Linked DNA regions of Canis lupus familiaris. The protein of the gene in region 1 purifies or fractionates together with the protein of each later gene. This does not show direct contact. Links are inferred from orthologs where the notes say so. Each region holds a gene or a part of one and is shown in the gene's direction. Other genes may lie near its edges. The genes, in order: PPP6R1, ANKRD52, PPP6C and ANKRD44.

Region 1 (3,563 bases):
CTTGTGTGCTCACCAGTTGGTAGACCTCGTGGTTGTTCCCTCCTTTGGCTACAGCAAATGGTGTGGAAACTTTCCTGGTTTCCCAGGTTCTCACCGTCTTCTTTCCTGATATTTGATGCCTTGTGTTCCTTGCCTTGGCACTTGTGTCTCCCTGTCTGTGTGATCCTCCACTCCTCTTCCTAAGGGTGGGGCGGTCAGCTCCAGGACATGAAGGGCACAGGTGCTGGGCTGGCATCCTCAGCTCTCTCTTTGCCTCCCCAGCAACATTCCAATGCATCCCAATCCCTGTGCGACATCATCCGCCTGAGCCGGGAGCAGATGATCCAGGTCCAAGACAGCCTAGAGCCCGACCAGCTGTTGACCACCCTGGAGAAGTGGGTTTGTGGTTCCAAGGCCTAGGGCGGGAAGATGTCCGGGGCCCTTCACCATGACCCCCACCCCGACCCCACCCTCATCCCCTGTCCCGACCCCTGCTCCAGGCAGGAGACGATTGAACAGCTCCTGAGCAACATGCTGGAGGGAGAGCAGAGCCAGTCTGTCATTGTGAGCGGGATCCAGGTGCTCCTGACCCTGCTGGAACCCCGAAGGCCAAGGTGAGGGGGCCCTGCCTCCCCAGGCAGCTATTGCCATCCCCCAGAGACCCTCTCCTTCTTTTTAGGGGTGAAGGTGTGGGGACTTGTCATCTACAAGCAGCATCCCCTTCTTGGTGGCCACTTAGGGTCTTTTTTTAAAGAATCTGGTTTTTTTTTTTTTTTTTTTTTTTTTTTTTTTTGTATTTTTAAAATATTTTATTTATTTATGAGAGAGAGAGAGAGGGGCAGAGACACAAGTAGAGGGAGAAGCAGGCTGTCCGCAGGAGCCCGATGTCCGATGTGGGACTCAATCCTGGACTCTGGGATCACACCCCAAGTCGGGCAGACGCTCAACCGCTGGGCCACCCAGGCATCCCACCACTTAGGGTCTTGGGAGAGGAGTTCTCAGTTCCTGTCTGAGGCCATGTAAACCACCTGTAGCTTTGAGCTGACTGGCCGAGTCCAGGGCCCTATAGGCCCATGATCCCTGGGCATCCCCCCCCCTCCCCCCGTGCACGCTGTACTTCCACAGGAAGCAGCTTGTCTCTCCCTTCCACATGTGCCATACATATGCATATGCGTGCACACAGGCCCTGCATCCTGTCCCCCCTGCAGGTCCGAGTCTGTGACCGTGAACAACTTCTTTAGCAGTGTGGATGGGCAGCTGGAGCTTCTGGCCCAGGCGACCCTGGATAGCAGCATGTCCAGTGTGGGCGCCCTGCACGCCCTGCGCCCACGGCTCAGCCGTTTCCACCAGCTTCTGCTTGAGCCCCCTGAGGTAGGCTGGGAGTCCAAGGATGTAGGGTGGCAGGGAGGGCAGCCCCACGGTTCTAGGTGGCACTGAGCCTCCCATGTGCCTGTAGCTGGAGCCACTGCGTACTACCTGGGGCAACCTGGCCCCGCCTCTGGGCAATACTCGGCTGCATGTGGTCAAGCTGCTGGCCAGCGCTCTGAGCGCCAACGACCCAGCCCTGACGCAGGAGCTCCTGGCACTGGATGTGCCCAACACCATGCTGGTGCGGAGAAGGGGGTGGGGTGGGGTGGGGTGGGGTGGAGGGCCCGGGCAGGGTGGGGAAGGGCGGGATGGGGATGAGGGGGTGGAGGGGGCCCTGGGCAGGGGTGGATGAGGGGCCTTTCCATGCCAGCCTCCACTGCCCGCCCCCCAGGACCTCTTCTTCCACTACATGTTCAACAACTTCCTGCATGCCCAAGTGGAGTTCTGTGTGAGTGCCATGCTCAGTGCTGGGCCTCCTTCCGACAGCAGCCTTGAGATGCCTGTCCCAAATCCCGTTGTGAAACATGTAAGCTGGGGTTCCCGGGTACCCCACTCTGTTCCTGTGGGTCACCCACTGTATCCCTCTGCCTTCTCTAGGTGGCCTCACATGCTGGGGGCCAGGGGCTCAGCCTTGTCCTTAGGTCTGTCTGGGAGAAATGGAGGATGATGTGCAGGCGGGTGCAGACGGGAGCCCTCAGGGGGCAGCAGTGTCCTCTGGGGTGACAGATGCTACTCTAGGGGAGGTACTTCCTGGGTTATAGCCTAGGGCCTTGGACATGGCCCCCACCCCCCCTCCCACTCCTCTGTAAATCCCCCTGGGTGCTGGGAGGGGCACGTCCTGGCCCTGCCCCCATGTCCCCGGTGCCCCCACTGTCTCCACTGCCCTCACAGCTCCTGCAGCAGTGCCGCCTGGTGGAGCGCATCCTGACATCCTGGGAAGAGAACGACCTTGTGCAGTGAGCGGCCCCTGGACTTCTTGCCCTTGGGGAGGGCGGGGCGGGGGCGCATGGGCCCATGTCCAGCTGCGGCCTCCGATCTTGCCCAGGTCTACCGGGGGCCCCCGCAAAGGCTACATGGGCCACCTGACGAGACTGGCCAACGCCCTGGTGCAGAACACGGAGAAGGGGCCCAATGCTGAGCAGCTGGGGCAGCTGCTGAAGGGTGAGGGTCCGGGAGGGTGTCGCCCCAGGGCTGGGGGCAGGGCTGCTGGCTGTAGTGGCGGGGGGCCTCACGTCCTGTCTCTTTTGCGCTGAACAGAACTGCCGGGTGAGCAGCAGGAGCGGTGGGAGGCCTTTGTGGCCGGACCCCTGGCCGAGACGAACAAGAAGAACATGGTGGACCTGGTAAGGCACCGCAGCTCTCTGCCGCGGTTCTGTTCTCCACCTGCACCTCCCTGAGGCTGCACCCTGCCATCCTGGCCCTCACCCCTTGCCTGCCCCCATGCCCCAGGTGAGCACGCACCACCTGCACTCCTCCAGCGATGATGAGGACGACCGGCTCAAGGAGTTCAACTTCCCCGAGGAGGCAGTACTGCAGCAGGTGGGCTGGGGGCCAGGGGCCTGCCCCTTTCTGCCTGGCCCCACCCATCCCTGACCACTGCTCCTCCACAGGCCTTCATGGACTTCCAGATGCAGCGCATGACCTCAGCCTTCATCGACCACTTTGGCTTCAATGATGAGGAGTTTGGGGAGCAGGAAGAAAGCGTGAAGTGAGTGTGCTCTTCTGTAGGCGAGCAGGGGTGAGAACACAGCAGGTGGGAGCACGAGTACTCGCTGGCCGTGTGGCACTTTCTGCCAGGCTTCCTGCGTCCTCCTTGGTCCCACCAGTCCTGGCACTTGGGCTCAGCATGGGGAGCGACCAGCTGGGGCTCCTCTGTCCCCTCCTTGGGGAGTCAGCTGCGTGTGTAGCTGGTGGGATGACCCCTTGATGCCAGAGCAGCCCCCAGCCCTCCACCAGGCCCTGTGCTTACAGGAGAACTTGAGCTTTCGGTGACTTCTACAGCTGCTTTGTTGAGCAATAGCAATTTAACTTGGTGTTGCAGTCATCAACTTTCTTCTTTAGTTACCAAGTTTTCTACCACAGGCATCTGTTCTTTTTGTAGTCAGAAAAAAAAAATAAGAGTTTTCTACCGTTTTGCAAATTGATGAGCAAGTTTATGGCAGCAAAGCTGGAGGGGAGCTCGGGTCGGGGTGGGAGCGAGGTTGGCCAGGAGGTGG
Region 2 (4,253 bases), on another chromosome or scaffold:
CTTGGAGGAATAGGTTAAGTTTTAAGTAATGTAAATTTTTTTCAATACGGTAGAAGTATACAAAAATAGTTTTTTTTTTTAAGATTTCATTTATTCATTCATGAAAGACAGAGAGAGAGGCAGAGAAACAGGCAGAGGGAGTAGCAGGCTCCATCCAAGGAAGCTTGATGCGGGACTCGATCCCAGGACCCCAGGATCACCCCTGGGCTGAAGGCAGATGTCCAACCACTGAGCCACCTGGGAGTCCCTCAAAAACTGCTGAAGGTATCTAATGATAGGTATTTTCCCCTCTCATTCCTCATTCCCTGTTCCCTAATTTCTCTCTCCAGGAAAGAGAGAAAACCATTTCTCTCTCAGTTATCAGTGTCTGTATCTTTCCGGTGGGAATCAAGATACCAAAGGTAATGAAGGGTACAGATTGGTTAGAGAGGAAAGGGGAGCTTTTATCCGTATGCCTTGACAGGGGGCCAACTTGCGGCCCTTCTTCCTCAACGTGCTCCCTCTTAGAGCACACAGATTGAATTGTTGAGCTCTAAGCAGGACCTTGGATCACCTTTTATAAATTGCACCAATTTTTCAATATCCAGCTTTCTCCCCTCTTTTCCTGTTCTGAGCTGGGATGACCTCCATCAGTATCTTGCCTGATTGGCTGCCCTCTGGCCTCTCCAGCGCAGGAGGGAAAGCACCCACCCTCTTCTGGGGAGAAGCCACTGGGCCGCCCTACCGCCCTAACCCGGCCGTGGACTAACTGGGAGTTGGGGAGGCGCCCCTTCTGCGGGCCTCGGGGGCCCTCTTCAGCCGCCGGCCGCCCCGCCTGCGTGCGGGGGTGCGGCGCCCCGGGGCCCCCGGGGGTCCTCTCCGCAGTCAGCGCTCGGCTGCTTCCCTTCTCCCGAGTCCTGCCACCGCCGGAGAAGATGTGCGTCCTCCTCGTCCCCGGGGCCACTGCCGGCCGTGACCCCAGGTCGCCACGCCCGTGGGTCCCCAGGTCCGCGGCGGACCTGGGGCACGTAACCGCCGGCGGGAGGCGTTACCTCCCGCGGGGGCGCCGCGGGGCCGGGGGCGCGCCCAGGGGCCCAGGCCGCGAGGCCGCTCAGCCCCGGGAGGACCTGGGCCCGGGCGTCGGGCGGCAGCGGGCGGCGGAGCGCGGGGGGGGCCCGCGGCGGCCGCAGCCCGCGGGAGGGGGCGGGGCGGGGCGGGGCTGGGGGCGGGGGCCGCGGCCCAGCTCCGCCGCCAGGGAGCGCTGCGGGCTCCCGCTCGCCCGCCCCCCGGTAGGCGGGGCCGCGCTCTCCCCGCAGCCGCCGCCGCAGCCGCCGCCTGGGCCGCCCCGTGTCCCCGGTGGAGCCGCCGCCGCCGCCGCCGGGAGCTCGATGCGGACGGAGCCCGGGCCGGGCCATGGGGATCCTCAGCATCACGGACCAGGTCAGCCCGCCCGTCCTTGCCCGCCGCGTCCCTCCGGGGCCCGGCGCCGCCGCCACGCGAGCCCGGGGATGTGCGGCCTAGGCTGGGCCCGAGCCCGGGGCCCCCGCGGCTGCCGCCCCGCCCCGCGCCGCGCTCCCCTCAAGCGCGCCGGCGTCCTTGGGGGCCTGGCGACCGGCCAGCGCGGCGGGCCCCCGGCGCCCGGCCCCCGGCGCGCAGCCCCGCCCCGCCCCGCCGCCCCCCGGCGGGCCAGGTGCCCCCGCGCCCCCGGCCGGCTCGCCGCGGCCCGCTGGCTGAGCGCCGGTTCTCCCGCAGCCGCCCCTGGTCCAGGCCATCTTTAGCCGCGATGTGGAGGAAGTGCGTTCCCTGCTCTCGCAGAAGGAGAACATCAACGTGCTGGTGAGCTGGGATCGGGGAGGATGCGGAGCCGGCGCCCGGGCCCTGCCGCGCCGGTCCCCGCCCCGCAGCGGGCGGCTCCGCGACGCCGACGAGGCCGCAGCGCGCTCCCCCGGGGTGGGCGCCGGCTCCGCGGCGGACCCGGGGAGCAGGTCAGGCTGGAAGCCTCAGTGGCGCCGAGGATGCCCAGCAGCGGCGGTCGCTTCCGAACCAGCAGTGTCTGCAGCGCCCCCACCCCTCCTGGAAGAGGGAGGCCGCCTCCCAGCCCCAGGGCCCTGACCCCTGACTCCTGACTCCCTGACGCCGCCCGCGCTAGGTGCCTGTTTTGACCCAGGACTGGGCTCTAGGAGGCTGCAGAACCTGTGGGAAGAGGGCGGAAGGGCCTGGAGCTCTAAGGCTTGGGCTGGGGTCCCTGGTAGTTCACCCATCCCTGCAGCTGCTGCTCTTTTCTGCCTTCCCAGGACCAAGAGAGGCGGACCCCATTGCATGCTGCTGCCTACGTAGGCGATGTCCCCATCCTCCAGTTGCTACTGATGTCAGGTGAAAGGGGGGAGCTGGAAGGTGTGGCTCCTGGGGAGGGGACCTGAAGGAAGAGCCCTCCCCTCCATCCCCCCATCCAAGCATTGCTCTCTGGACCTTGATGTGCGAGAGGCATTCCATCTCTATCCATATTCCTTGGCCTGGTTACGGCTTTCCTTCCCCGTTGCTGTCCCTCTCCCACTGAAAGAGGAAATTGTATCCCCACAGGTGCTAATGTCAATGCTAAGGACACACTGTGGCTGACCCCTCTTCATCGTGCTGCTGCTTCCCGAAATGAGGTACCAGCCTCCTGTGCCTTTTCACCCTTTCAAAGAGGATGAGTTGGTTAAAGGTGGAAGTGAAGGATTCGAGAGCCTCAGCTCTCTGCCTTACCAGCTGGTCTACCCCTAGGTCAGGAGACTAGACCTTGGCCCCTCCCTCCCACCCCTAGAACTGGCTGGTGAGGGGGAGCTGAGTGTTGCCAGCTGATGTGACGTCAGGGGAGAGCTTAACACTGGGCTGGCAGACTGCAGGGGGCCCTGCTGCCAGGCCTGAGTGACTCATCTCTCCCTGGGGGGCCACCTTGGAGTCTGATCCCCCTCTGAGCACTGAGATTTCTTACCTTGTGATGGAGGGATGGAGGGGCTGAGGGTAGTGATCTGTTGCATCCCTGCCCCTCAAGCAGCCTGAAAGTTGACAGCATAGGGGTCACATGTGTCTCATCAATTGGGTCCATCAACCCTGGGTAGCAGGGAAGAGGAGACCTCTCTCTTGGCTTGATGGTCAGTTCCCTGGCTTTGACCAGCAGGGTGAGGGACTGAGGCCAATGGGAATGGGGTGGGTTGTGATTAGGAGGGACCTTTTAGCCTGGGTTTTAGAGGGGGACCAGCATCTGTTTGCTTACTGAGGTAGTAGAAATGATTTTGGTGCCTATTGAAGGACTGAAGGCGGGTATTCGGGGCATTAAGGTAGCAGGAGTGTGTATTTTTCCTAGTGAAAAGTAGTGAGGGATTGGAATCCTCTTTATATGTGGATTTGCTTGGTAGTAGCTGTGTGCATGGGTGAAGATTTTCAGAGTCTGGCTGGGGAGTGATACCAGGTGGCTTGAGGAAAAGGAAGGGACCATGCTTTCCTCAGCAAGGTCTGGGAAGATTTTTAGACTCTAAGAAGATTCGGAAGATGGGAAGTACGTATTGACAGGCTATGTACGAAAAATGGGAAAAGACTCTGTGCTGGGGAGTTGGGAGCTGGGGCTGTGTGTGTCATGCTGACCTGTTTTTCCCTCCACTATTTGTTTTACCTCCCACTGCCCCTCTGTCTTCTCTCTTACCTCCCCCCGCTCCTTAACAGAAGGTGCTGGGACTGCTGCTGGCACATTCAGCAGATGTGAACGCCCGGGACAAGCTGTGGCAGACACCATTGCATGTGGCTGCCGCCAACCGGGCCACGAAGTGTGCTGAGGCTCTGGCACCCCTGTTGAGTAGCCTCAACGTGGCCGATAGGAGCGGGCGTAGTGCCCTGCACCATGCAGTGCATAGTGGGCATCTCGAGGTGAGGACTGCTCCCATTCATGCCCAGCCTAGTGCCGTGCCTTCCCTTCCCACTCACCATCCTCTGCTTCTGGGCCATCAGGTCTGGGAGAAGCGGCCTGGATGACTATATAGACACTTGGGCTCAAGATCAAATGAATGGTTGGGTTAGATTGAAATTCTTGACTTGGGGATCCCTGGGTGGCGCAGCGGTTTGGCGCCTGCCTTCGGCCCAGGGCGCGATCCTGGAGACCCGGGATCGAATCCCACGTCGGGCTCCCGGTGCATGGAGCCTGCTTCTCCCTCTGCCTATGTCTCTGCCTCTCTCTCTCTCTGTGTGACTATCATAAATAAATAAAAATTAAAAAAAAAAAAACCAACACATCTTTCACA
Region 3 (3,563 bases), on another chromosome or scaffold:
TTTGAACATTTCATTTATTTGCTTGCTAATTTTAAGAAGGTAGGAAAATTTTATTTAAACTTCTAAAGTTTTTTTTTTAACTTCAAGCAAGTAATAACTTCAGATTTATGAAATATTGTTATAAAGGGCAGTGTTTTATTTCTTTGAGTAGTTAACATTTAAATTTCAGTTTTGTTCACTATGACTAAGATTCTTGTATGTTTTAAGTGTTAGAAATTGAATAATTTTATTTTCAAGTATAAAAGATGATTGTATAGGAAGTGATTAGTTATAGTTGGTACAGTAAATTATAGTAAATTCCTTTAATCCAAAATCCTTAGAAAAACTGAAGTTTTCTTTAGGAATTAGGATTAAGATAATCTAGTTGACTGAAGTTACCACATGTACAATTTGTCAATTACTAATTTTCAGTCACATAGAAAATGATGAAATATACAGTTCTTTTTTACTGATTATTGAGAAGACATTCCATAGCTATAGAGCCTCCAAAGTAGAATGTGGGAGGGTAGGTTGATCTGCTTTTCATGGTAACTGTGAAGTGTCGTGTAAATTCATTCTTTGAAAAAAATTCTTACCCACTTGCTTCCTTATCTTTTGTCTCATTAAAATAGATGCTGAGTATGGGTGGGGTGGTTAGCTTAGCTTATTAACAAGTTAGATAATTGATCAGTTATTTCAAATTCTCAAGTGATAGGGCACCTGGCTGACTCAGTCAATGGAGCATGTGACTCTTGATCTTGGGGTCATGAGTTCAAGCCTCATGTTGGGCATAGAGATTACTTAAAAAAATTCTAGATGACAAGATAAATGAAAGAAATTTGAGGGAGAAGGCCTATAACATTAATGATCTAGGAATGACCTTATTGGTAATTGTGAGATTTATTTTAGTGCTTCTATTAGGCTTGAGAGCTCTGTGCTTGGCAGTTTTGCTTACACTTTATTTCTTTTTATAAGTGTCAGTATTTCAGGCCTTCCTAATTACATGCTCCTTTACACATTTCGCTCTCACTTTTATTATTTTACTCCTTTACAGGAATTTGTAATTAATCAGCATATATTGACTTTCTTTTATAGTTTTATGACCTTTGCGAACTATTCAGAACTGGAGGTCAGGTTCCTGACACAAACTACATATTTATGGTATGTAAACCCACATGATACCAAATACTTATTTAAAATGGAAAGCATCTGATTTATTACATGGAAATTATATAACAATTTCTTTGTCATATGACAATCACTTTGTAAATATATGAAAAGGTGATGCTATACTTTTCTACATTTTGCCATCTTGTCTGGTTGAAAATGATTGCTTTAGTAAATTGCCATATGCATAGGACTGGGTTCTAGGCATAAGTAATGGTTGGCAGAAAAATAACCCAGAACCTCCCAGGATTAAGGCACAGAGCTTTAATTTACTGTTATTTTATCATATCTTCTTGAGCATTCATTTTCATCTGTTATCAATTTGTAGATTGATGAATATATGAACATACATATTTGCTATTAAGGTGGATATTTGCTTACTTTCCTTTTGGAATGTCATGTTACTATTGAATTTTTTATGAATCCTATCATTTTCTTTCTTCTAGAGGTTTGTGTGTCACTTTCCTATTCTTTGAGCTGTTTTCCTATTGATCTAACAACATTGTCCCAAATAAAATACTAATGGGAAGTGTAAGTAGTATGGCTTCACAAGCAGTTGTTAAATACACAACTGAACCTAAAACACTAATTAAGGTATATACTTTTATAAAAACACTATTTCTTCAAGTTGTTAGGTTTTTTTATATAGTTACAATGATTTTTGGGATGCCTGGCTGGGTCAGTCAGGAGAGTGTGTGACTTGATCTCAGGGTCATGAGTTTGAGCCCCACTTTGGGTGTAGAGATTACTTAAACATTTAAAAATAATAATTAAATGATTTTTGAAATTCATTAAAAAATTTTGGATTCACATGTGACCTTTTTGAAACACCTGCTAATGTAGGTAATAGAGAATTAGAAAAATGGTGGTTTTTCAGGGAAGATCCTTCAGAGAATTGGATAGCAGGTTCCTGTAGGCCTCCTGAATCATAAGACTGGCACACTTAGTAGAGACTGCTTATTTACTTCGATTTGAATTTTTTGTTAAAACCCAATTTCCAAATAAATCAATGTATGACCCTTCAATTTTGTTATTTTTTTTTTTTTGCCATGTCTCTGAGTTTGTACACCTTGGTATAATTTAAAAAATACATTGTTGCTATTATTTCTAACTGTAAACTTTTACTTTACAGGGTGATTTTGTAGACAGAGGTTACTATAGTTTGGAGACCTTCACTTACCTTCTTGCACTAAAGGCTAAATGGCCTGATCGTATCACACTTTTGCGAGGAAATCATGAAAGTAGACAGATAACACAGGTGTATGGATTTTATGGTAAGACTTTCTATTTCTCTGATTCTCTGAATATTGCTTTCCTTTCCTCTTTGGGAAAAAAGCCATACAAGTCATACATGTGCTTTATATAAAGTTAGAAATATAAATCATCTTTTTCCACTTTTTAACTCCTCCTCTTCCCCCATTCAACTGAGAACCTTACCATGGAGAGAGAACTGTTCTTAATTTTTTGATGTACATCATCCTGGATCATTGCCCTAAAGTGTAGCCCTCAGTTTACATCATTGGAATCATCAGGGGTACTTGTTAAACATGTACATTGCTGGGCCCCCACTGAAAACCTGTTGGAGTGGGAATCCTAGAATCTGCTGAAGGTAAATGTTCTGCACTTGAAAGTTGAGAACCTATTATATATTATATGTATATGTGTGTGTATGTGTGTGTTTATAAACATATTTGTGTGTGTACATACCTGCTTTTTTCACTTAATGCTGTGACCAGCCTTTCTTTACTTCATTGACATTATTTTTATAGTTGCATTATATTACACTGTATGGATGTACTATAATTGATTAAATCAGTACCTTTAACATTGGACATTGGAGTTGGGTTTTTTTTTTTTTTTTTGGAGTTGTTTTTAAGTTGCTGACATATATAATATTGTATGTGTATAACATATATAATTATGTATATATATGTGTGTGTATCCATATGTTCCATCCAGAGAGTGCTAGGACCTCAGGGGTCAGAAACAGAACTTAGCCATTAAAAGCAAAATATATCTGCTTCTATAAAACTTGTATATGGTTGAAAGTTTTAAAAAATGAAGTTAGGAAAAAAAATTAGGTTACAAAGCTCTTTGAAGGAGATAGAGAGCAGGACTGTTGAGGTTATTAACATGAATTTTCCTTAAGCTTAATTAAGGCATATATTGAGATATTTGAAAATATTAATCTCATAACCCTTTAGTTTCAGATTTTATATTTTGGATTCTCTTATGTCATTATAAAGATGAGCTAAACTCTTATTTGTAAGCCACTATCAATTACTAAATTGAGAAATTTTGATAATTTATTATTATATGTTAATAGTAATTGATAAGTTAGATGGCTAATATTTGTCCCCTTTTTACAAGTTACTTTTGATTTTCATTCACAAAATAACAAGTACCATTTAAAATAA
Region 4 (3,563 bases), on another chromosome or scaffold:
TATCTACAGAAACCTCACAATTTTTGAGGCCAAAGTTAAACTAAAATGGGACGCTTGGGTGGCTCAGTGGTTGAGCATCTGCCTTCGGCTCAGGGCGTGATCCTGGGTCTGGGGATCGAGATCTGCACTGGGCTCCCTGCAAGGGGCCTGCTTCTCTGTCTATGTCTCTGCCTGTCTCTCTGTGTCTCTCATGAATAAATGAATAAGAGCTTTAAAAAAAAAAAACAAAGTTAAACAAAAATATCATTTTTTTTCTTATTTAAATCTTAACTTTTATATGGTGGTTTAGCTTTACTTTTGTTTGTTTTTTGTTCACACAGCTAGCTTTTAGAGCTTGCTAGCTTTTAGAGTCTGGCTAATATTTATTCACAAGTGTATGTTAAGAATACACATACACGTTTCACTCTAATATGAGCTCCAGGAATGTTACTTAGTAGTCATTACCTTATTGTCTTGCTGAGGATAGGTGACATATATCTTTTTTTTTCCTTTTTGATAGTTTTAAAGAATTATTTGTTTGCTTGGGCCCTATGAGTATATTGTTTATGGCATCTAAATGGAGCATCACACTATGTTTAAACTGTATTCTCTAATTTACAAAACTAATTTTTTTGCTCTCATTCTACTGTCCATGTTAGCCATTCATCTCAATGTGTTGCTACTACTGATGCATAGAACATTCTTCTTATTTTGTTATTTATGTCCCTGATACAAATGTTAATCTTAAGATTTTAAATGATTTACTATCTGAGCACCTGTATGTATCTGCATGATAAAGTAGATTGGATAGTTAAGGCCTGTGAGGAATATGGTGGACAGGGGTAAGTTCTTGATCCATGAAGGGTGGCAGGAGTGTGGCACATTTCATTGCCTTTCATTGGTTTATTGATGCCACATTGAGAAGATGTTTATAAAGGAGTCCCAGTAACTGGTTCTAGGGATATCTCTAGAAGTAAAGAGAAACAACCAACAGTCACTCCCATCTTAAGAGAAGCTATATCCTTTTCTCGGTGGAACAGAAGAGTGTCCTCAATCCTAGCCATACAACAAAGTTACAGAAGCTTTACAGAAATTCTGAGGCCAGTTAGAATCTCTGGTGTGGCACCAGCCATCTGTATTTTTTTTTTTTTTTTAAGTAGGCTTTGGAGCCCAGTGTAGAGCCCAACAAGGGGCTCAAAATCATGACCCTGAGATTAAAACCTGAGCTGAGATCAAGAGTCAGATCAAGAGTCAGAGCCACCTAGGCACCCCAGCCATCTGTATTTTTAAGAGCTTCTCAGGTGATTCCATTATATAGCCAAGGTTGAGAGTAATAGTTCAAGAGGCTTATAAGCTGATTAGGTCAACGGAAGGAAAATAAAAAGTGTAAGTCTCAGGAAAGGTGAGGGAACTCAATAGTAGAAAAGAAGTTGCCCCACTATAACATGGAAGAGGTTGGGGGAAACACAGAACAATTTTGTAGCTTCAAGTTGAGGTAGTAATAGACATCTTCCCTTGACTGCTATTGATCGCACAGTGAGGGTTAAGATGTTGGCGGAGACAAAGATTTATAAATCGATCCAAGAACGTCCAAAGGGCTTTGAGGCCTTTGGCTTTGGAAGATGGAGGCTTATTGACAAGCACCTCCAAGTTTAGATGATCTTTGGGGGCCTTTTGACTTATGGATATTTTACCCCAGGTGTGCACTTGCACGGGGTGCTCTCATTTGTCCTAAGGGTACTTTACACCCTAGTAGGAAACCTTACACTTAGAAAGTTTACTTGGTTTTATTTTTATTTTTTTTAATTTTTATTTATTTATGATAGTCACAGAGAGAGAGAGAGAGAGAGAGAGAGAGGCAGAGACACAGGCAGAGGGAGAAGCAGGCTCCATGCACCGGGAGCCCGAAGTGGGATTCGATCCCGGGTTTCCAGGATCACGCCCTGGGCCAAAGGCAGGCGCCAAACCGCTGCGCCACCCAGGGATCCCGCTTACTTGGTTTTAAAGCTGTGCCAGGGCTCTTGGCCTAACACAGAAAGATAAATGGATCTGCTTTTGTCTGTGCCACTCTTTCGATCTTTATCACATATTACCTTGCTTTTCTCAGAAGAACCTACATCTTGAGCCAGCCTGTGAGGGCACAGAGCCTTCCCTTCCTGTGGCTCCAGGGTCTAGTGAAGCGTCTTCTATCCAATCAGTGTTGATTGAGCCTCTGTCAGTGACCCCTGCCAACTCTGCCTCTGTTGTAGGAAGCAGTGCAAGTATTGATTAAGCACTCGGCTGACGTCAACGCGAGGGACAAGAATTGGCAGACGCCACTCCACGTGGCAGCTGCCAACAAGGCTGTCAAGTGTGCAGAAGTGATCATTCCCCTGCTGAGCAGCGTCAATGTCTCCGACCGAGGTGGGCGCACCGCCTTGCACCACGCTGCTCTGAATGGCCACGTGGAGGTGAGTGCCCTCATCACTGGCGCCAAGCATTCTCCCTACAGACTCTCTGGGCCCCAAGTGGAAGCCAGGCTTACGCTGAGGCTTTCAGAGAGCATGATGCTACCATCCACACACCCAACCTTAGGCAGCGACAGCTAGTTTTAACTGTACAGCCAGGGGTTGAAAAAGGAGCTGTCACCTTGGCCTTTTCCTCTGACACACGTGCCATGGGGTTGTCTGTGACATCAGCTTCCTACTGTGTTTGAATTCCAAGTCACTGACCTGCCTTTATATTGGATGTTAATTTGACTCAGATTATCTGCATGTTGGTTTTCTTTCAGATGGTCAATCTACTCTTGGCCAAAGGAGCAAACATCAACGCATTTGATAAGAAGGACCGGCGTGCTCTGCACTGGGCGGCATATATGGGTAAGAATTCCATGAATGGAAAGAAAAATGCAAACAACTGTAACTAAAGAAGCTGTGAGCCTGTTGCTAAGCGTGTAGGCTTTCTCTTGGGCAAGCCTGACTTCTTTCCAAGGTTGGGATCTAACTGAGTTAAGATTTGGGCCATTTTACTGGCATACGTTGAGTGCTCTCGTTAGACAGTTGCTCTGTCAGAGGTTTATTTACCCCACAGAGAGGAGGAGGGATGAATCATGGCCTGGACCTCATTGAATGTGCTCCAATCTGGACTGGAAAGCAGCACAAACGGTGCTTCTTCTAACTTGTTATGGCAGCAAAATGAAGTATTTAAAAAGAAAAAGGACTGGCTAGCAAAGCAAGGACATGAATGCCATTTGTCCTTTTATTTATAAATATTTTGGAAAGAAACAAAAAGGAAGGAAGGAAAGCCCCCTGGCTGTTGTGTAGGTTGAAGTGACAAGGGTCACCATGGATTATCCTGCTACTCTACAGCCGACGAAGCTGAAGTTTGCGGTTCTTGCTTCTGCCAGCTTGGGTGGGAGAAATGAAGGAAGAGGTTACATTGCTGTGTTTTTCTTTTTCACTTTTGTTGGCACAAATACCACTGATACATGACAGACCTCATAGAGTTTATTCTCAGTGTAGATTGGTGAGGAACAAAGAACTGAGATCCTTCCTTTGTGTTTCTAACTGGAGAACATTCTGCAATTTGAAAAGCAGATTCGATTC

Evidence for each region.
Region 2: the proteins of PPP6R1 (region 1) and ANKRD52 purify together in Homo sapiens (co-immunoprecipitation; 3 studies listed by BioGRID and IntAct, with this or other methods). This does not show direct contact. The link is inferred for Canis lupus familiaris from reciprocal best matches to the Homo sapiens genes PPP6R1 and ANKRD52.
Region 3: the proteins of PPP6R1 (region 1) and PPP6C purify together in Homo sapiens (affinity purification with mass spectrometry; 11 studies listed by BioGRID and IntAct, with this or other methods). This does not show direct contact. The link is inferred for Canis lupus familiaris from reciprocal best matches to the Homo sapiens genes PPP6R1 and PPP6C.
Region 4: the proteins of PPP6R1 (region 1) and ANKRD44 purify together in Homo sapiens (co-immunoprecipitation; 5 studies listed by BioGRID and IntAct, counting the BioPlex papers as one, with this or other methods). This does not show direct contact. The link is inferred for Canis lupus familiaris from reciprocal best matches to the Homo sapiens genes PPP6R1 and ANKRD44.

What each region holds. Positions count from the first base shown.
Region 1 is NC_049222.1:103,182,663-103,186,225, forward strand, and holds part of PPP6R1 (serine/threonine-protein phosphatase 6 regulatory subunit 1), read left to right. Parts: intron 1-261; coding exon 262-374; intron 375-479; coding exon 480-593; intron 594-1,187; coding exon 1,188-1,350; intron 1,351-1,435; coding exon 1,436-1,588; intron 1,589-1,738; coding exon 1,739-1,873; intron 1,874-2,238; coding exon 2,239-2,303; intron 2,304-2,392; coding exon 2,393-2,508; intron 2,509-2,604; coding exon 2,605-2,690; intron 2,691-2,796; coding exon 2,797-2,886; intron 2,887-2,957; coding exon 2,958-3,055; intron 3,056-3,563. UniProt on the Homo sapiens protein: Regulatory subunit of protein phosphatase 6 (PP6). May function as a scaffolding PP6 subunit. Involved in the PP6-mediated dephosphorylation of NFKBIE opposing its degradation in response to TNF-alpha.
Region 2 is NC_049231.1:925,218-929,470, reverse strand, and holds the start of ANKRD52 (serine/threonine-protein phosphatase 6 regulatory ankyrin repeat subunit C), read left to right. Parts: upstream 1-1,392; coding exon 1,393-1,419; intron 1,420-1,731; coding exon 1,732-1,815; intron 1,816-2,273; coding exon 2,274-2,352; intron 2,353-2,559; coding exon 2,560-2,630; intron 2,631-3,681; coding exon 3,682-3,882; intron 3,883-4,253. UniProt on the Homo sapiens protein: Putative regulatory subunit of protein phosphatase 6 (PP6) that may be involved in the recognition of phosphoprotein substrates.
Region 3 is NC_049230.1:57,997,910-58,001,472, forward strand, and holds part of PPP6C (serine/threonine-protein phosphatase 6 catalytic subunit), read left to right. Parts: intron 1-1,074; coding exon 1,075-1,140; intron 1,141-2,278; coding exon 2,279-2,420; intron 2,421-3,563.
Region 4 is NC_049258.1:6,563,106-6,566,668, reverse strand, and holds part of ANKRD44 (serine/threonine-protein phosphatase 6 regulatory ankyrin repeat subunit B), read left to right. Parts: intron 1-2,228; coding exon 2,229-2,429; intron 2,430-2,749; coding exon 2,750-2,837; intron 2,838-3,563. UniProt on the Homo sapiens protein: Putative regulatory subunit of protein phosphatase 6 (PP6) that may be involved in the recognition of phosphoprotein substrates.